4 linked regions of the Saccharomyces cerevisiae S288C genome follow. The protein of the gene in region 2 interacts with the protein of the main gene of each other region in a biochemical or structural test. Each region holds a gene or a part of one and is shown on either strand. Other genes may lie near its edges. The genes, in order: DNA2, RFA2, RFA1 and HFM1.

What was found.
Region 1: the proteins of RFA2 (region 2) and DNA2 form a complex in vitro, tested with the Saccharomyces cerevisiae proteins (one study listed by BioGRID).
Region 3: the proteins of RFA2 (region 2) and RFA1 form a complex in vitro, tested with the Saccharomyces cerevisiae proteins (2 studies listed by BioGRID).
Region 4: the proteins of RFA2 (region 2) and HFM1 form a complex in vitro, tested with the Saccharomyces cerevisiae proteins (one study listed by BioGRID).

What each region holds. Positions count from the first base shown.
Region 1 is NC_001140.6:424,056-431,032, reverse strand, and holds DNA2 (bifunctional ATP-dependent DNA helicase/ssDNA endodeoxyribonuclease DNA2), read left to right. Parts: upstream 1-1,854; coding exon 1,855-6,423; downstream 6,424-6,977. Other genes in the region: U4/U6-U5 snRNP complex subunit PRP8, read left to right, coding at 1-1,326; 6-phosphogluconolactonase SOL3, read right to left, coding at 6,560-6,977. UniProt on the Saccharomyces cerevisiae protein: Key enzyme involved in DNA replication and DNA repair.
Region 2 is NC_001146.8:46,663-49,729, forward strand, and holds RFA2 (Rfa2p), read left to right. Parts: upstream 1-1,624; coding exon 1,625-1,631; intron 1,632-1,739; coding exon 1,740-2,554; downstream 2,555-3,067. Other genes in the region: tetratricopeptide repeat-containing protein EMW1, read right to left, coding at 1-1,360; putative SCF ubiquitin ligase complex subunit SKP2, read right to left, coding at 2,735-3,067. UniProt on the Saccharomyces cerevisiae protein: Binds to single-stranded sequences participating in DNA replication in addition to those mediating transcriptional repression (URS1) and activation (CAR1). Stimulates the activity of a cognate strand exchange protein (SEP1).
Region 3 is NC_001133.9:156,254-160,455, reverse strand, and holds RFA1 (replication factor A subunit protein RFA1), read left to right. Parts: upstream 1-1,836; coding exon 1,837-3,702; downstream 3,703-4,202. Other genes in the region: tRNA splicing endonuclease subunit SEN34, read right to left, coding at 663-1,490; COMPASS subunit protein SWD1, read right to left, coding at 4,171-4,202. UniProt on the Saccharomyces cerevisiae protein: As part of the replication protein A (RPA/RP-A), a single-stranded DNA-binding heterotrimeric complex, may play an essential role in DNA replication, recombination and repair.
Region 4 is NC_001139.9:27,396-33,360, reverse strand, and holds HFM1 (DNA helicase), read left to right. Parts: upstream 1-1,724; coding exon 1,725-1,782; intron 1,783-1,934; coding exon 1,935-5,440; downstream 5,441-5,965. Other genes in the region: ZIP2 (Zip2p), read right to left, coding at 1-263; RMR1 (Rmr1p), read right to left, coding at 726-1,451; RTG2 (Rtg2p), read left to right, coding at 5,877-5,965. UniProt on the Saccharomyces cerevisiae protein: DNA-dependent ATPase and 3'-5' DNA helicase. Required in the control of double strand break transition and crossover during meiosis. ATPase is slightly better stimulated by single-stranded (ss) than double-stranded (ds)DNA.

The sequences.
Region 1 (6,977 bases), on a different chromosome or scaffold from region 2:
AAACTTTCTGATGTTGTGATGAAAGCTACTGAACCTCAGATGGTTCTGTTTAACATTTATGATGATTGGTTAGACCGTATTTCATCGTACACTGCATTTTCTAGACTTACACTACTTTTAAGAGCTTTAAAGACGAACGAGGAAAGTGCCAAAATGATTCTACTCAGTGACCCCACGATCACTATCAAATCGTACCATTTATGGCCTTCATTCACTGATGAACAATGGATCACTATCGAATCTCAAATGAGAGATTTGATTTTGACTGAGTACGGCAGAAAATACAATGTCAATATATCTGCCTTAACTCAAACGGAAATTAAAGATATTATATTGGGTCAAAATATCAAGGCACCATCTGTGAAGAGACAAAAAATGGCTGAATTAGAAGCTGCCAGGTCAGAAAAGCAGAACGACGAAGAAGCTGCAGGTGCATCAACTGTTATGAAAACTAAAACTATCAATGCGCAAGGTGAGGAGATAGTTGTAGTAGCTTCCGCTGATTACGAAAGTCAAACGTTTAGTTCAAAGAATGAATGGAGAAAATCTGCAATTGCTAATACACTATTATATTTGAGGTTAAAAAACATTTATGTTTCGGCTGATGATTTCGTGGAGGAACAGAATGTTTACGTCCTTCCAAAAAATTTATTAAAGAAGTTTATTGAGATATCCGATGTGAAAATCCAGGTGGCGGCCTTTATTTATGGTATGTCAGCAAAAGATCATCCGAAGGTGAAAGAAATCAAGACTGTTGTGCTGGTACCTCAATTAGGCCACGTAGGATCCGTTCAGATAAGCAACATCCCTGACATCGGAGACCTTCCGGATACTGAAGGCCTTGAACTACTCGGTTGGATCCATACCCAGACAGAAGAACTTAAATTCATGGCTGCGTCTGAAGTAGCAACTCATTCTAAACTTTTTGCGGATAAGAAAAGAGACTGCATTGATATTTCAATTTTTTCCACCCCGGGATCAGTATCATTAAGCGCTTATAACCTGACCGACGAAGGTTACCAATGGGGTGAAGAAAATAAGGATATAATGAACGTGCTATCGGAAGGGTTTGAGCCTACTTTCAGCACGCATGCCCAATTACTTCTCTCTGACCGTATCACAGGTAATTTTATAATTCCATCTGGAAACGTTTGGAACTACACATTTATGGGAACAGCATTTAACCAAGAAGGTGACTACAATTTTAAATACGGCATTCCTTTGGAATTCTATAATGAGATGCATCGTCCAGTACACTTTTTACAGTTTAGCGAATTGGCGGGGGACGAAGAGTTAGAGGCCGAACAAATCGATGTATTTAGCTGAATATATTCCCCAATAAACTGGAATCTGTTATTTCATAGATATATATGTAAGTATAAGTTTGTATGTATAATATTCAACGCATTTTTTATGCCCGTCGTAGTTGCTACCTACCACACGATGATGTATTATAATTTCGGAACTACTTCAAAGCTACGCTTTCCGCACTATGAAAAGCTATAAGTATGTGAAAATTGGTCATTGACTGTGATTCTATTTCAAAAAGTAACCAAAGGAGATAGACATCGTTCGGACAGAAAATGGTCCGTTGTCACTCCCATTCCATTATGTCCTTCATATAGAAATTGGATATTCTTGTTTTCATTTCGCGCAATAAAGCAATTCCGTGCGGCAGAAAGAACTTATATATATTTAACTGATCTTACGCTATTTATGGCAAAACTTGTGTTACATTTTTGAAGATAAAGTTACAATCATTACGGCAGCCTCAAAACAAAATTGGGAGAAAACATACTCAAGTGAGTACTCATTTTGTGCAAGCAAACACTGACAATTGAAGAGATCGTCAGGATGCCCGGAACGCCACAGAAGAACAAGAGGTCTGCGAGTATATCTGTTTCACCTGCGAAGAAGACAGAGGAAAAAGAAATAATACAAAATGATTCAAAGGCGATATTATCTAAGCAAACTAAGAGGAAAAAAAAGTATGCTTTTGCTCCTATAAATAACTTAAATGGGAAGAACACCAAGGTATCCAATGCAAGTGTCCTAAAGTCAATAGCCGTTTCACAAGTACGAAATACATCAAGAACAAAAGATATAAACAAAGCAGTTAGCAAGAGCGTAAAGCAATTACCAAATTCACAAGTTAAACCGAAACGGGAAATGTCTAATTTGAGTAGGCATCACGATTTCACTCAAGACGAGGACGGCCCCATGGAAGAAGTAATATGGAAATATTCACCTTTACAACGAGATATGTCCGACAAAACAACAAGCGCTGCCGAATACTCTGATGACTACGAAGATGTCCAAAATCCCTCTTCTACACCTATAGTCCCTAATCGACTGAAAACTGTTCTTAGTTTCACAAATATCCAAGTACCCAACGCTGACGTAAATCAACTCATTCAAGAAAATGGAAATGAGCAAGTGCGTCCTAAACCAGCAGAAATATCTACCAGGGAGTCTCTCCGTAATATAGATGATATTCTCGATGATATAGAGGGCGATTTAACTATAAAACCGACGATAACGAAATTCAGCGATTTGCCATCTTCACCCATCAAGGCACCCAACGTTGAAAAAAAAGCAGAGGTGAATGCAGAAGAAGTAGATAAAATGGATTCAACAGGAGATAGCAACGATGGCGATGACTCTTTGATAGATATTTTAACTCAAAAGTATGTTGAGAAACGCAAGAGTGAGAGTCAGATAACAATTCAAGGCAACACCAATCAAAAAAGTGGAGCCCAGGAAAGTTGTGGGAAGAATGATAACACAAAATCGAGAGGAGAAATTGAAGATCATGAAAATGTAGACAATCAAGCCAAAACAGGCAATGCATTTTATGAGAATGAAGAAGACAGTAATTGCCAAAGAATTAAAAAAAATGAAAAAATAGAATACAATTCTTCAGACGAATTTTCAGACGATTCACTAATTGAACTATTGAACGAAACTCAAACACAAGTGGAACCTAACACTATTGAACAAGATTTAGACAAAGTGGAGAAAATGGTCTCTGACGATTTGAGAATTGCTACTGATTCCACTTTATCCGCATATGCTCTCAGAGCTAAGTCTGGTGCTCCAAGAGACGGCGTAGTACGATTAGTAATAGTAAGCTTACGTAGTGTTGAATTGCCAAAAATTGGAACGCAAAAAATACTAGAGTGTATAGACGGCAAAGGCGAACAAAGTTCTGTTGTCGTTCGACATCCTTGGGTATATTTGGAATTTGAGGTTGGGGATGTAATACATATTATAGAAGGGAAAAATATTGAAAACAAACGGCTTCTTTCTGACGACAAAAACCCTAAAACTCAACTGGCTAACGACAACCTGTTGGTGCTAAACCCTGATGTATTATTTTCGGCAACATCAGTCGGAAGTTCAGTAGGTTGTTTAAGACGTTCAATTCTGCAAATGCAATTTCAAGATCCCCGCGGAGAACCAAGCCTTGTCATGACTTTAGGCAATATCGTACACGAGTTATTGCAAGACTCAATCAAATACAAGCTCTCGCATAATAAAATTTCTATGGAAATCATAATACAAAAGCTGGATTCTTTGTTAGAAACTTATTCTTTTTCAATTATCATTTGTAATGAAGAAATCCAGTACGTTAAAGAATTAGTTATGAAAGAACATGCTGAAAACATTTTGTACTTCGTCAATAAATTTGTTTCGAAAAGTAACTATGGTTGCTACACATCAATTTCCGGAACAAGAAGAACACAGCCAATTTCTATATCCAATGTGATTGATATTGAAGAAAACATTTGGTCTCCAATATATGGTCTTAAAGGGTTCCTAGATGCAACTGTTGAAGCTAATGTTGAAAACAATAAAAAACACATCGTTCCTTTAGAAGTGAAAACTGGAAAATCCAGAAGCGTTTCATACGAGGTTCAAGGCCTTATTTATACACTTCTGTTAAATGATCGCTATGAGATACCGATAGAGTTTTTTCTTCTTTATTTTACGAGGGATAAAAATATGACAAAGTTCCCTTCTGTTCTGCACTCCATTAAACATATTCTCATGTCCCGAAATAGAATGAGTATGAATTTTAAGCATCAACTCCAAGAGGTTTTCGGACAGGCTCAATCAAGGTTTGAATTACCACCCTTACTGCGCGATTCATCTTGTGATTCATGTTTCATCAAAGAATCATGCATGGTGTTGAATAAGCTACTAGAGGACGGGACACCAGAAGAAAGTGGCCTGGTAGAAGGTGAGTTTGAAATTTTGACAAACCATTTGTCGCAAAATCTCGCCAACTACAAAGAGTTTTTTACAAAATATAATGATCTAATAACTAAGGAGGAGTCAAGTATAACATGTGTAAATAAAGAACTTTTCTTATTGGATGGTTCCACAAGAGAATCCAGAAGTGGAAGGTGCCTTTCTGGCTTGGTTGTGTCAGAGGTGGTTGAACATGAAAAAACAGAGGGAGCGTATATATATTGCTTCTCAAGACGTAGAAATGATAATAACTCGCAGTCGATGTTATCATCTCAAATTGCTGCTAATGACTTTGTTATTATTAGTGATGAGGAGGGTCATTTTTGCTTGTGCCAAGGTCGTGTACAATTTATAAATCCCGCTAAAATTGGTATCTCCGTAAAACGAAAGTTATTAAACAATAGGCTTCTAGATAAGGAAAAAGGAGTCACTACCATCCAAAGTGTGGTCGAATCAGAGCTAGAACAATCCAGTCTCATAGCTACCCAAAATTTGGTCACATATAGAATCGACAAAAATGATATCCAACAGAGTTTGTCTTTAGCGCGATTTAATCTTTTAAGCTTGTTTTTACCAGCTGTTTCACCTGGCGTGGATATTGTTGACGAAAGGAGTAAATTATGTCGGAAGACAAAGAGATCTGATGGAGGTAATGAAATACTGCGATCACTTTTAGTTGATAATAGAGCACCTAAGTTTAGAGATGCAAATGATGATCCCGTCATTCCGTATAAGCTTTCAAAGGATACAACATTGAACTTGAATCAAAAAGAAGCAATAGACAAAGTAATGAGGGCCGAAGATTATGCATTGATATTGGGAATGCCAGGGACTGGTAAGACTACTGTTATCGCAGAAATTATTAAAATTCTCGTTTCCGAGGGGAAACGCGTGCTTTTGACATCATACACACATTCAGCAGTGGATAATATTTTAATAAAATTGAGGAACACCAACATTAGCATAATGAGATTGGGAATGAAACATAAGGTCCATCCTGACACGCAAAAATATGTCCCGAATTACGCGTCAGTGAAAAGTTATAACGATTATTTGTCCAAAATTAACAGCACCTCTGTTGTTGCTACCACCTGCTTAGGAATTAACGATATACTATTTACACTAAATGAAAAGGATTTTGATTATGTGATTTTGGACGAGGCAAGTCAAATTTCAATGCCTGTCGCTTTGGGACCTCTGCGGTATGGAAATAGGTTTATTATGGTAGGAGATCATTACCAGCTACCGCCATTAGTTAAAAATGACGCAGCTCGATTAGGTGGGTTAGAAGAGTCACTGTTCAAGACTTTCTGTGAAAAGCATCCGGAAAGCGTTGCAGAACTGACTTTACAGTACCGTATGTGCGGCGATATTGTAACTTTGTCTAATTTCCTAATTTATGATAATAAATTAAAATGCGGGAATAACGAAGTTTTTGCTCAATCTTTAGAGTTACCAATGCCTGAGGCCTTGTCGCGCTATAGGAATGAATCGGCTAACTCTAAGCAGTGGCTTGAGGATATACTAGAGCCTACAAGAAAAGTGGTATTTTTAAATTACGATAACTGCCCGGATATTATCGAACAAAGCGAAAAGGATAACATTACGAATCACGGGGAGGCAGAATTGACTCTACAATGTGTGGAAGGAATGTTATTGAGCGGCGTACCATGCGAAGATATTGGTGTAATGACGTTATACAGAGCACAGTTAAGATTACTGAAGAAGATATTCAACAAAAATGTGTATGACGGGCTAGAGATCTTGACTGCTGATCAGTTTCAAGGTCGTGACAAAAAGTGCATTATTATTTCCATGGTTAGAAGAAATTCTCAATTAAATGGAGGAGCGCTGCTGAAAGAGCTAAGAAGAGTCAATGTTGCCATGACAAGGGCCAAATCCAAGCTGATCATTATAGGTTCAAAAAGTACAATCGGCTCTGTTCCTGAAATAAAATCGTTCGTGAACCTGTTAGAAGAGCGTAATTGGGTCTATACAATGTGCAAGGATGCACTCTACAAATACAAATTTCCCGACAGATCAAACGCTATTGATGAGGCACGCAAAGGTTGTGGAAAAAGAACAGGTGCCAAACCCATCACATCAAAGTCTAAATTCGTAAGCGATAAACCTATCATAAAGGAAATTCTACAAGAGTATGAAAGTTGACAGGGGGAATAAGAAGAGCTTCTCCATAACAGGAAAGCTATCACAGCATAAAATATCTATGTCATTTTATAAAGTTTGGTATATATAACACGTAATATTAGCATCTGAGGTTCGAAAGCTCGCATGTGTGTCTTTTCTAAAAAGTTTTCGTTTGAACTTTTCCAAAAGCTTCCTCATTAACGAACCAGGATGTTTTTTCACCAAATAATTTGTTAACCAATGCGGTTGGCAATTGATCGTTTTTCAAGTCAAAGATCTCATGCATTATATTTTGTTTGGAACTGCCCTCAGCCACAAAACACAGGGCTTTGGCGTCTTTCAACACAGGCAGAGTGAAGGTGATTCTGTCACTTGGAGGCTTGGGAGAATCGTGGCACCAAGCAACTCTTTTGGTTGTTTCGTTCAGCAAGTACCTATGTGTTTCTCCAGGGAATAAGGAACAAGTGTGTCCATCAGGACCACAGCCCAACAGTACCAAATCAAGCACTTGAGGTACGATACGCTCGTACTCTGCAGCAATTTTGTTGTTAGATTCAGCATCGCTGCCAATCAAG
Region 2 (3,067 bases):
TTGACCTTTCCCATAATGATCGGGCGAAAATAGACCAATTTTTGTCACCGTTTTGATATAATATTCTAGAAAGCAAAGCAGTAAGTTCTTCTTCCACAAGAGGATCCTTGGCCGGAGTTGTGTTCTTTATGGTGTAAAGACGTAACAGCAACTGGATGTTGTCGTAATCAGATAGGGTAGGTTGATCGTTAGGGTTCAAATCCAGCAACAACTTTGGAATATTTTCTTGACGTAGTGCCAATGGCAATAGTTTATCTTCTTCATAACCTTCATTTAGGTCTACCTTTTGTCTTTTACTATAAATTTGCTCGTCTAGAGGTTCATCAGCAATGGACTCAAAATGAGGCTTCTCCAATAATAGATCGGACTCTAAAGCAAATGTTTCTGGTGTAGCAGATGTCGTTCTCAAAGCAAAATTTTGAAATGTGAAGGATTTGGCAAGAATGATCAAACCGGCATGAGCCTTTTGCTGATATTTAGTTCTAGTAGCGCGTGCACCCGTCATTACAAATTCAAAATTTGTTATCTTTTTCGCTCTGGTCAAGGATGGCAGGCACAAATGTTCTGTGTTGATGGCCAATGAACATTTGACATTCTCTAGATAGTACATTGCACAAAGTTCTCTTTTGAAATCTTCGTGAATACTCTCCGGTAATTCCTTAGTTATCGCATATGCAAGGTCAGCAGACTGATATATTGCAGATGCAACACTAGCTTGGAACCCAGAAGGTTCTGGAATCAGTGACAATTGCGTCAAAAGAGCTCTTGCCCACCACCAATAAGCTACAGCTAATAATCCAGGAGTAGACTCAGCAGAGATAATAGGTAGCGGAATTTCTTGATCCGGGGTAACATCAAATAAGCTTTTTTGGCCGGTTATCCTTTCAAGTAATAATAGTGATAAAACCAAATACAATGGATCATCCATAAATTCGTAGGCAGGCTGGCCCATAATGGCTAATGAGCGGGAAAGGGCTGTATTAACTGCTCCTATTTCAATTCCAGTTTTGCCAAACAAACCTGAGATTGCTTTCAACCTAGCTGCTGGGCCGGTGTAGTTATTTTGAATAAAGGTCTGTAAGAGGGCAATAGCCAAAAATAGCATCTCATTTTCTTGGCCCATTTTGAAAACCTCAACGTTAAGAAAGTCATTTAGAGCAGCAATAACACTAGATGTGGATATTTCTCCCGAAATACTAATTTTTCCCTTAAATTTGTCCACAAATTGCTGTACTAGCTGGTATGATTCACCACTGATGATATGTTCAGCCTTTTTCACATATGTCTGGTCGAAAGAACCACTTTTCAGAGATTCTACTTCTGCAGACAGCAATAATTTTGCATGCAATAACGTCTCCATAATTTTGCAACCACTAGTTTACTTTTTGCCTGGTCTGATAGCTTCTTTTTAGCAATTCCTTTGGCCTCGATGAGCTTCCATTTTCAATTTTCATCTTTTTTTTCACGATGCGAAGTTTCTTAGATAATTATCGCCATATACGAAACGCGTTAGGAAACGCGTTCTTTCCTTTATAATAAGCAATATTATATCAACTTAAGGTGGAAGTAATGTGGCAAAATCGATAGCGACTATCTAGAACAGGCTAGTTTAAGCATATACATAATGGCAAGTATGTATTAGTGCTAGGAATTGGAGGATTTGCTCTTTTCTGCATCATTTTTTTTATTTTTATTGGCGAATGTTAAAATTACTAACAATGGATGGGATTCCAATACAGCCTATCAACCATATAACGAATATTCATCAGTAACGGGCGGTGGCTTTGAGAACTCTGAGTCCCGCCCAGGTAGTGGGGAGTCGGAAACTAACACTAGAGTTAACACCTTGACACCTGTGACGATCAAACAAATTCTAGAGTCCAAACAGGATATTCAGGACGGCCCCTTCGTTTCGCATAACCAAGAACTTCATCACGTTTGTTTTGTAGGTGTGGTGAGAAACATTACAGACCATACTGCAAATATTTTTTTAACTATTGAGGATGGAACTGGTCAAATAGAAGTGAGAAAATGGAGCGAAGATGCAAATGACTTGGCTGCCGGTAACGATGACTCTTCTGGTAAAGGTTATGGTTCGCAAGTCGCCCAACAATTTGAAATTGGCGGTTACGTAAAAGTTTTTGGTGCTTTGAAAGAGTTTGGTGGTAAGAAAAATATACAGTATGCGGTGATTAAGCCCATAGATTCATTCAATGAAGTGTTGACGCATCACTTGGAAGTCATCAAATGTCATTCCATAGCCAGTGGAATGATGAAACAACCTTTGGAGAGTGCATCCAACAACAATGGGCAATCATTATTTGTCAAGGATGATAACGATACATCTTCCGGCTCCAGTCCGTTACAAAGAATTCTAGAATTTTGTAAGAAGCAATGTGAGGGCAAAGACGCTAATTCATTCGCTGTTCCCATTCCATTGATCTCGCAATCCTTGAATTTGGATGAAACTACCGTCAGAAACTGCTGTACGACCTTGACTGACCAGGGTTTTATCTACCCAACTTTTGATGACAATAACTTCTTTGCCCTATGAAAATATATAGATTATTTTTTTAGCATTTCTTAGTATTCGTTTGTGTATTTCTACTAGGTAAGTACCAAAATTTGCCGGAAATAGAGTGGAAAATGGAACCCGTTCCAAGAAGGGGTAAGATGCATGAATATTAAGTTGGTTGCATAAATATGCTATATAAAGTCCACTACAAAAAGTCATTTATTTTTGCCCGTAAGAATAAAGAACGAATCCGTCCTTATCTCTGACTTCAATGGGAACATTTACACGCAGTACGGGCTTCAATAATAGTTCCCAGTCGTATCTGGTTCTAGGTGTACATAATGAAAAATGTCTCAGCATTCTTATTTTGACAGCTTTGAATTTTGACAAATTTCTCAGGAAACACCAGAGGTTAATATTTGGAATATCTTTAAAATTCTCTGGATCTTGGAAATCATTGAAAAAATTTTCCAATGTCACATTTTGTAAGAACTCCTCCACATCTAAATCTCTATATTCGATGGTTCGGTTCTTCAATTTGATTAAACTATC
Region 3 (4,202 bases), on a different chromosome or scaffold from region 2:
CTGAAACGCAAGGATTGATAATGTAATAGGATCAATGAATATAAACATATAAAACGGAATGAGGAATAATCGTAATATTAGTATGTAGAAATATAGATTCCATTTTGAGGATTCCTATATCCTCGAGGAGAACTTCTAGTATATTCTGTATACCTAATATTATAGCCTTTATCAACAATGGAATCCCAACAATTATCTCAACATTCACCCATTTCTCAGAACCAACTATCTTCGATCAATTTGTATTAAAACTGCTAGCATATTATCATATATGATGTAAAAAGACGACATAAAGGTCGAGTAACAATCATCCGATATAACGGAAGCTGAAATCCGAGGATCGATAATATAGCATAATTACTTGTATGAACGATGCTAAAATATTTGTTCCTTCACATCTACACGTGGAAGTAAATGAACTGGATGTCAACAGTTTAGAAGAGCTTTTTTTTCGGTTCTGGTAAACATTCAATAAACTGTTTTGCTCCCACTAAATATAAATAAACATAATTATATGTCTAGTGATAAACAACTACTTTCCCGCTGAATGCATCAAAATATCAATGCAAATTTAAAAATTGTATTACACATATGTATGCTTCTGAAAAACCTTATAAATACATAAATTCTGAGAAAATAATTATACATGACTGATTCCCAGCTTAACCAAATCCAGCCCATTCTATTGAGAAGAAATGAGTTTCCTTTGTCTCTTCCGCAACACCGCCTATGACCCAAAGTTTTTTCACAGTCGTTCCTAGTCTTGCACCACTTATCATGGATATTAGGTCAATCGGCTCATTATGATAATCAATCGCATCTTGTATCGTCAGATGTGAATGGAAACGAAGAGGATCACCAGGGTATGCTATAAACTTCCCACCAAAACGTCCACCTGGGGACAAAACGTACCCTTGATCTCTCAATGCCTTGTATAAGAAATAGGTCTGCATTTTTCCTGCCTGTCTGTACTGCTTAAATAACAAATCACTGATATCATCGCGGGATAAGCTGTCTGAATCACTCCGTATGTCTCTTAAAATCATAGAGGTATTAGCAATGTCAATGAACAAAGAAGATTCAATTAGCTGGTCATTATTGCTAGATTTATCAAGCCGTTGCAATTCTTCAGCTGTGGTTTTATCATTGATTCTACCGATTTTCTTTAATTTTGCAATGTGTTCATCCTTTTTGAACTTTCTCTGATATTCAAATGACTTGTTCAAACGATCGTTGACAATTTTAGATAGTTTGGCGCCCCGCTCTAATGTTATTCCCTCCATAATCTCATCTCCCTCTTGTCTTATTAATTTCACATCGGCAAGATTGTTCAAATGCAGCCACAGCACATCTTCTAACATAAGCCTCAAAGGTACCGACAAAAATACATTTTGCTGTGCTGCAGTAGGCAAAGTTCCAGATAACACACCACAAATACCCCATTTCCTTAGAAGTTTGATGTGATCTATGTCAAATACTAGCGGTGGCATAAAAACCTCCTCGCCTTTTGCCGTTCTTTTTGCATATATGTTAATAGCTATGCGCGTACCACCTTCTTCAGCCATATACGAAAGGATCTATGCTAATTGGGTGGATTTCTTATCGCATCACTTTCTTATTCTCTAACTCTTCTTCGCTGCTCAATAAAATATCTCTGCTTGGAAAAATGTCACGCGTAAAAATTAGACGAGGCGACAAAAGACGCGTGAACTAACATAAAGGTTTACTTGAACAAATGTTATCACTTTAAGTTCTACACGTAAAACAAAAACTATTCACTCTTCTTATTACGGTAAAGGCGAAACCAGCAAGAAGACCAGATTATACTTACAAGAGATGAGCAGTGTTCAACTTTCGAGGGGCGATTTTCATAGCATCTTCACCAATAAGCAAAGGTACGATAATCCCACCGGTGGCGTTTATCAAGTTTATAACACCAGGAAATCTGATGGGGCTAACAGCAACAGAAAGAATTTGATCATGATTTCCGATGGTATTTACCATATGAAGGCTCTGTTGAGAAACCAAGCTGCATCCAAGTTCCAGTCAATGGAACTACAAAGGGGTGATATCATTCGCGTGATAATTGCAGAACCTGCTATTGTCAGGGAAAGAAAGAAATACGTTCTTTTAGTAGATGACTTTGAGTTGGTCCAGTCGCGTGCTGATATGGTCAACCAAACTAGTACTTTTTTGGATAACTATTTCTCAGAGCATCCAAATGAAACCTTAAAAGACGAAGATATAACTGACAGTGGTAATGTTGCCAATCAAACAAACGCCAGCAATGCTGGTGTCCCTGATATGCTGCATTCAAACTCAAACTTGAATGCAAATGAGAGAAAATTCGCCAATGAAAACCCTAATTCGCAAAAAACCAGACCAATTTTTGCCATCGAACAACTGTCTCCATACCAAAACGTTTGGACTATCAAAGCAAGAGTTTCCTACAAGGGAGAAATTAAAACGTGGCACAATCAAAGAGGTGATGGTAAACTATTCAATGTCAACTTCTTGGATACCTCTGGAGAAATCCGAGCCACGGCGTTTAATGATTTTGCTACAAAATTTAACGAAATTTTACAAGAAGGCAAAGTATACTATGTATCAAAGGCAAAACTCCAACCAGCTAAGCCCCAATTTACTAATCTAACACACCCTTATGAACTGAATTTGGATAGAGACACTGTTATAGAAGAATGTTTCGATGAAAGTAATGTTCCGAAAACCCATTTCAATTTCATCAAACTAGATGCTATTCAGAACCAGGAAGTAAATTCCAACGTAGACGTCCTCGGTATTATCCAAACTATAAACCCACATTTTGAGCTAACTTCAAGGGCTGGGAAGAAATTCGATCGTCGTGACATCACAATTGTTGACGACTCTGGGTTTTCTATCTCTGTTGGCCTATGGAATCAGCAAGCCCTTGATTTCAACCTTCCTGAAGGTTCTGTTGCTGCCATTAAAGGTGTTCGTGTGACGGATTTTGGTGGCAAATCTTTGTCTATGGGATTTTCTAGTACCCTGATTCCGAATCCAGAAATTCCTGAGGCATATGCCTTAAAGGGTTGGTATGATTCCAAGGGCCGCAACGCAAACTTCATCACTTTAAAGCAAGAACCCGGTATGGGTGGTCAATCGGCTGCTAGCTTAACAAAATTCATTGCTCAGCGTATTACTATTGCTAGAGCTCAAGCTGAAAATCTAGGAAGAAGCGAGAAAGGTGACTTTTTTAGTGTTAAAGCTGCTATAAGTTTCTTAAAAGTTGATAATTTTGCATATCCTGCCTGTTCTAATGAGAATTGTAATAAGAAAGTTCTGGAACAGCCTGATGGTACTTGGAGATGTGAGAAGTGCGACACCAATAATGCAAGGCCAAATTGGAGATACATCTTGACAATATCAATTATTGACGAAACCAATCAACTATGGCTCACTTTATTTGACGACCAAGCTAAACAATTATTGGGTGTTGATGCTAATACATTAATGTCTTTGAAGGAAGAAGACCCCAACGAATTCACAAAAATTACTCAAAGTATCCAAATGAACGAATATGACTTTAGGATTAGAGCGCGTGAGGATACATACAATGATCAAAGCAGAATTAGATATACCGTTGCTAACCTACACAGCTTGAATTACAGGGCTGAAGCCGACTATCTTGCCGATGAGTTATCCAAGGCTTTGTTAGCTTAATGTATCAAATAATCAAGTACTATTTAATCTATGTAACATATGAGAAATGTAAAAAAAAAACTTCTATTTCGTCAAGTTTTTGAAGGGCGGTTCAGCATCTCTTGATGACTGGATATGAAACTACACGTTCAGTCATATGAATTTGAACCCATAATGCACAAATGAATAAAAATGCTAACAAATTCTAATTAATGGCATGGTACTAACACCCAACAATTTACCGCCCTTTAGGTGTACAGCTTCAAATAACAAAGCTTTACAAATTCACCTTCAACATTTACGTTCAGTAGTATGAAATTACCATCATGACGTGCTCCTATCAAAGTGAGATTATTGCACTTCGTATTATTAGGAAATTACCAAAAAATGCAAAATTTTTCAATTCTGTGTCAAAGAAATCGCGGTAGGCATGACTATACCTCTTCAGTGTCAGTTGCCTATTTAAACTTTCTCCTTTTGAAGAGAAACCTATGATGACTGCATCTTAATTATCCTCGTAT
Region 4 (5,965 bases), on a different chromosome or scaffold from region 2:
TTGCCAACGGCTACATCTATTTTTTGTCTTCCAGAGGTGATGTGAATTACCTCCAAAAAATACTCTTCACCATTGATCGTGCCGCAGTTTTCATACCCTCCGATTTTCAGTGGTTTAAGTTGCAAATTTCTTAGCTCTTTCAAATATTTTTGTGCTCGTCTTCCCAGTTTGATGTTTTCTTTTAAGTTTCCTGACAGAACAGAATAGCCGCCCACATTTTGGTTACATTTAGATAACTTTACTTCCCAACGTTCAATAATCATAGTATTTTTGTAATATGATCTATTTCTCTAAATTGATTCAATTACTCGAGCTCGTTAACAATGGTGTGGCACTATTGAGTGATTTTCTTCTCCTGAAACATATTTTATGCTTGTATTTTACATATCCTAACAGAAAATACTTTCAGCAATTCTTCCGAAAGTAAAACTTGAAAAAAATTGAAGAAAATGACGAAAAAACAATACAAAACAATAATACAATTCGCTACAAAAAAGGGGGAAGGGCTATCAGAAATCGAATATGGACCTTTGCATCATCCAAAATTAATGAATACTTAACTGCTGACTATACAAACGAAAAAGAAGGCGACCTTAAATATTACACAGAGCCAATAATTTATTCGCGGGAGAAGATTCTCAAAAGGAATCCGTGACTGGGAAATCAGAAACTCACCGTTGGACATCAGGATTTCCCACGATCAGTGCTGATTAAACATGGCTACTTTAGTCTTCAGAATCCTCACCTACGTCATCATCTATGTCCATTACAATGACTTCTGAAGTATTCTGGTGTGTATATTGGTCATTGTCATCCACAATTAAGGGATGCGTTTCATCGTTAGAAAATGGCTTTATGTTTTTCAACGTAGCTGAGCTTTCAGTTAATTCAACCAAGGCGTTGTACCGAGAGACAAATCTTGGCCTTGTACTTAATTCAATAGCCAAGTGCGTCGGTATATCAGTTTCAAAATTAGACTCCGATCTTTCCTTCAGGATTTTAAATATAGTATAAACATCGCTGAATGAAATATGGTTGTTGTAGACATTATCTTCGAACAAGGTCAAATCGAGGCTTTTCAGTTGTAAAACCAACTCCTTCGTAGCAAAAGCCAACCTGCCAAAACGATTTCCCATAAATTTACGAATGGATTCCATGAATTCCCCCATGGGTCGCTGATAAAGAGCAGCGTTTTCACATATTATGGGGTTGTTACTTTCGTTCTTATCATCCGACGTGAACAACAGAAATGTAGTATCTTTATATTCCACGGTGACTTTGGGCAATTCGCTTTTCATTAAAGTCTCTGCCACGTTGCGTATACGGGCGTCCGATGGTTGTTCCTCCACGAGTTCATCATCATACTCCAAAAGGTCTTCTTCATCGCCCTCATCCAATTGAACCCCGACGTCATCCACCTCCACTGTTTTATGCGCTTCTTCTTCACTCATCTTTGATTCCATTGATACCAACAAAAACAATCTTTAACTACGTATCTTTTCCTTTACGTATATATAATTAATCATATATACTTCCCTTTTTTATGCCTTGTTGTAGTTTTAACATATCATGTACCACGAATGGATGCAGGCTCGGCGGGTATTTAGACTTTGCCCCGGATTATAAACAAAACGGGACTATTAGTATCATCTATCAAGAAATCCTTTCATTGAAAATGATTGATACCTCAAGGTGGATTTGACAACTTAAGAGGCGTCGTAAGGATGAAAACAAAGTTTGATCGCCTCGGTACAGGAAAAAGAAGTAGACCCTCTCCAAATAGTAGTAACGAAGCTTAGCAACACCCTTATCAGTTTACACCATATCGGACAACAACAGTATTTTGACTAACATTGTTACCTCTTTCTTTTATTATCTAGCGGAAATGCAACCAAAAGTGGTTTTTCTGGACTAGAATTTCAGAGGACTTATAGATATTGACTTTAACGACCAGTCTGCTACATTTAAAAGAAATAAGAAAAATAGCCGCCAACCAAGTTTTAAAGTAGGTTTGTCTTATAACAGTTTACTGGATGATTGTGATGATGAAAATGAAACAGAGGAAATATTTGAGGGCCGTGGTCTGCAATTCTTCGACAAAGACGATAATTTTTCAATAACAGCAGATGATACACAAGTAACTAGTAAATTATTTGATCACGATTTAGAGCAGACACCTGATGAAGAGGCGAAGAAACCTAAGAAGGTCACGATAAGGAAATCAGCGAAGAAATGTTTGAGCACGACCATATTACCAGATTCATTCAGAGGGGTTTTTAAATTTACAGAATTTAATAAAATGCAATCAGAGGCTTTTCCTAGTATTTATGAGAGTAACGAGAACTGCATAATTTCTTCACCAACCGGATCAGGCAAGACTGTATTATTTGAATTGGCAATATTACGTCTTATAAAGGAAACAAATAGTGATACCAATAACACCAAAATTATATACATCGCGCCAACCAAATCTCTATGTTACGAGATGTACAAGAACTGGTTTCCTTCCTTTGTGAATCTTTCTGTTGGTATGCTTACTAGTGATACCTCTTTTCTGGAAACTGAAAAGGCTAAAAAATGTAACATAATAATTACGACACCAGAAAAATGGGATTTGTTAACAAGAAGATGGTCCGATTACAGCCGATTATTCGAATTGGTCAAACTTGTCCTAGTTGATGAGATTCATACCATAAAGGAGAAAAGAGGAGCATCTTTGGAAGTAATTCTGACAAGGATGAATACAATGTGTCAAAACATTCGGTTTGTTGCTTTAAGTGCAACAGTTCCAAATATAGAAGACCTAGCATTGTGGCTCAAAACTAACAACGAGCTTCCTGCAAATATTCTTTCTTTTGACGAATCGTACAGGCAAGTTCAGTTAACGAAGTTTGTTTATGGGTACTCCTTCAATTGCAAAAATGACTTCCAAAAAGATGCTATATATAATTCCAAATTGATTGAAATAATTGAAAAGCATGCCGATAATCGTCCCGTACTAATATTTTGTCCGACTAGGGCTTCAACTATATCAACAGCAAAATTTTTATTAAATAATCATATTTTTTCAAAAAGTAAGAAAAGATGTAATCATAATCCCTCCGATAAAATATTAAATGAATGTATGCAACAAGGTATCGCTTTCCATCATGCTGGAATTTCTTTAGAAGACCGTACTGCCGTTGAGAAAGAATTTCTTGCAGGTTCAATTAATATATTGTGTTCAACTTCAACGTTAGCTGTTGGTGTGAACCTTCCCGCATATTTGGTCATTATCAAAGGCACCAAAAGTTGGAACTCTTCTGAAATCCAAGAGTATTCAGACCTAGATGTACTGCAAATGATTGGGCGGGCAGGAAGACCTCAATTTGAAACTCACGGGTGCGCAGTAATCATGACAGACTCTAAAATGAAGCAAACATATGAAAACTTAATTCATGGAACTGACGTTTTGGAAAGTTCATTACATTTGAATTTGATCGAGCATTTAGCAGCAGAAACCTCTTTGGAAACTGTATATTCAATTGAAACTGCAGTAAATTGGCTACGAAACACATTCTTTTACGTTAGATTTGGGAAGAATCCAGCTGCATATCAAGAGGTGAACAGATACGTTAGTTTTCATTCCGTTGAAGACTCTCAGATAAATCAATTCTGTCAGTATTTGCTTGACACCTTAGTAAAAGTGAAAATAATCGATATCAGCAATGGGGAGTACAAATCTACAGCGTACGGAAATGCAATGACGCGACATTATATATCCTTTGAGTCGATGAAACAATTCATTAACGCAAAAAAATTTCTATCATTACAAGGGATACTAAATTTACTGGCCACTTCTGAAGAGTTTTCAGTTATGAGGGTGAGGCACAATGAAAAAAAATTGTTCAAAGAAATCAATTTATCGCCACTTTTGAAATATCCATTTTTAACCGAGAAGAAACAGAGCCAAATAATTGACAGGGTTAGTCAAAAGGTTTCTCTTTTGATTCAATATGAGTTAGGTGGGTTAGAATTTCCATCATACGAAGGCGCTTCTAAACTACATCAAACTCTTGTTCAGGATAAATTCCTCGTTTTTAGACATTGTTTTAGATTACTAAAATGCATGGTAGACACATTTATTGAAAAAAGTGATGGAACATCACTGAAAAATACTTTGTTCTTACTGCGAAGCCTGAATGGTCACTGCTGGGAAAACACGCCAATGGTTCTTAGGCAATTGAAAACAATTGGACTAGTTTCAGTAAGAAGGCTAATACGACATGGAATTACCAATCTAGAAGAAATGGGGCATTTGTCAGATACTCAGATTGAATACTATCTTAACCTCAAGATTGGAAACGGCATAAAAATTAAAAACGACATTTCTTTGTTGCCTTGTCTGAATATTAGAACAAAACTAGAAAATTGCAAAATAGAAAATGAAGAGTTGTGGTTGACATTTAAAGTTGAGATTAGTGCAACATTCAAGTCTAGCATTTGGCATGGTCAGCACCTCTCATTAGATATCGAAACCGAGAAAAGCTCAGGAGAGTTAATCGACTTTAGAAGATTGCAAGTTAACAAACTACAGTCACCAAGGGGCTTTAGAATTTCAGCAAAAATATCACCAAAACTAGAAAAAATAGAATTCTCAATTCATTGCCAAGAAATCGCCGGACTCGGCAAAACAATCGTATATTCCACTGATCATTTGGCATCACAGTTCTCTGCGAAGACACCAAATATAAGGAAAGATCTAAATAGTTTAGAAAAATGCCTCTTCTATGAAAGCAGTAGTGACGGAGAAGTGGGGAAAACGTCTAGGGTTTCCCATAAAGATGGATTAGAAGAATCGCTATCCTCAGATGATAGTATACTAGATTATTTGAATGAAAGGAAGAAATCATCAAAGGCGGTTGAATCTGCAGCAGTTATTCACCCGGAGGCACACTCTTCTTCACATTTTAGTAATGGCCGCCAAGTAAGATCTAATGGCAATTACGAGTGTTTTCATAGCTGCAAAGACAAAACGCAATGCAGACATTTATGTTGTAAAGAGGGTATTCCAGTAAAGTATATAAAAGAAAAAGGACCCTCCTCAATCAAGCCAGTATCAAAACCTGATCAAATACGCCAGCCACTGCTTGCAAAAAATATCAACACAACCCCTCACCTGGAAAAAAGACTGAATAGTAAACCAAAGCAGTGGCAAGAAGAAAATACAGATATTGCGACAGTTCATACACTTCCTTCAAAAATTTATAATCTATCGCAACAGATGTCGTCTATGGAAGCGGGTGAACAAGTCCTAAAATCAGGCCCCGAAAACTGCCCTGAAATAATTCCTATTGATCTTGAATCATCCGATAGTTATTCTAGTAATACAGCGGCGAGCTCAATAAGTGATCCGAATGGTGATCTGGATTTCTTGGGTTCCGATATAGAGTTTGAATGAGCGGCATGGCCGGGAACAATAGACATTACTGATATTCATTACCCCAATCCTTTCTGTTATTTGTATTGCTTCCCAACAGAAGTTAGCATGTGTGAGAGTTTACTTATAATGCTTTGTTTTTAAAATGCAGCCAGTGGTGAAACAATTGGAACCTTTACTATTTATTAGGGAACAAGATGACATTGTCAATTGATATATTACTATTGTTACATATCGTGCTATTTATCATTTCAATTATTAGTCACATGACCGCGATAAGCGATCCGGGTCAGAATGCCGAGATAGGATAACTTTGCCGGCGGAGTTCCTAGATCAATTGAAAGAATCGAAGTGAGATTAGTAATTCATTCATATGTACCTTTTAAAAAAGAAACTCACTCTTGGAAGTGTCCTTTACTAAGGATTGTTTTGAACGAAAAGTGTAGGCGTGCCACAAATGTCAACACTTAGCGATAGTGATACCGAGACTGAGGTCGTGTCGAGAAACTTGTGTGGAATCGTCGACATAGGTTCTAATGGTATTCG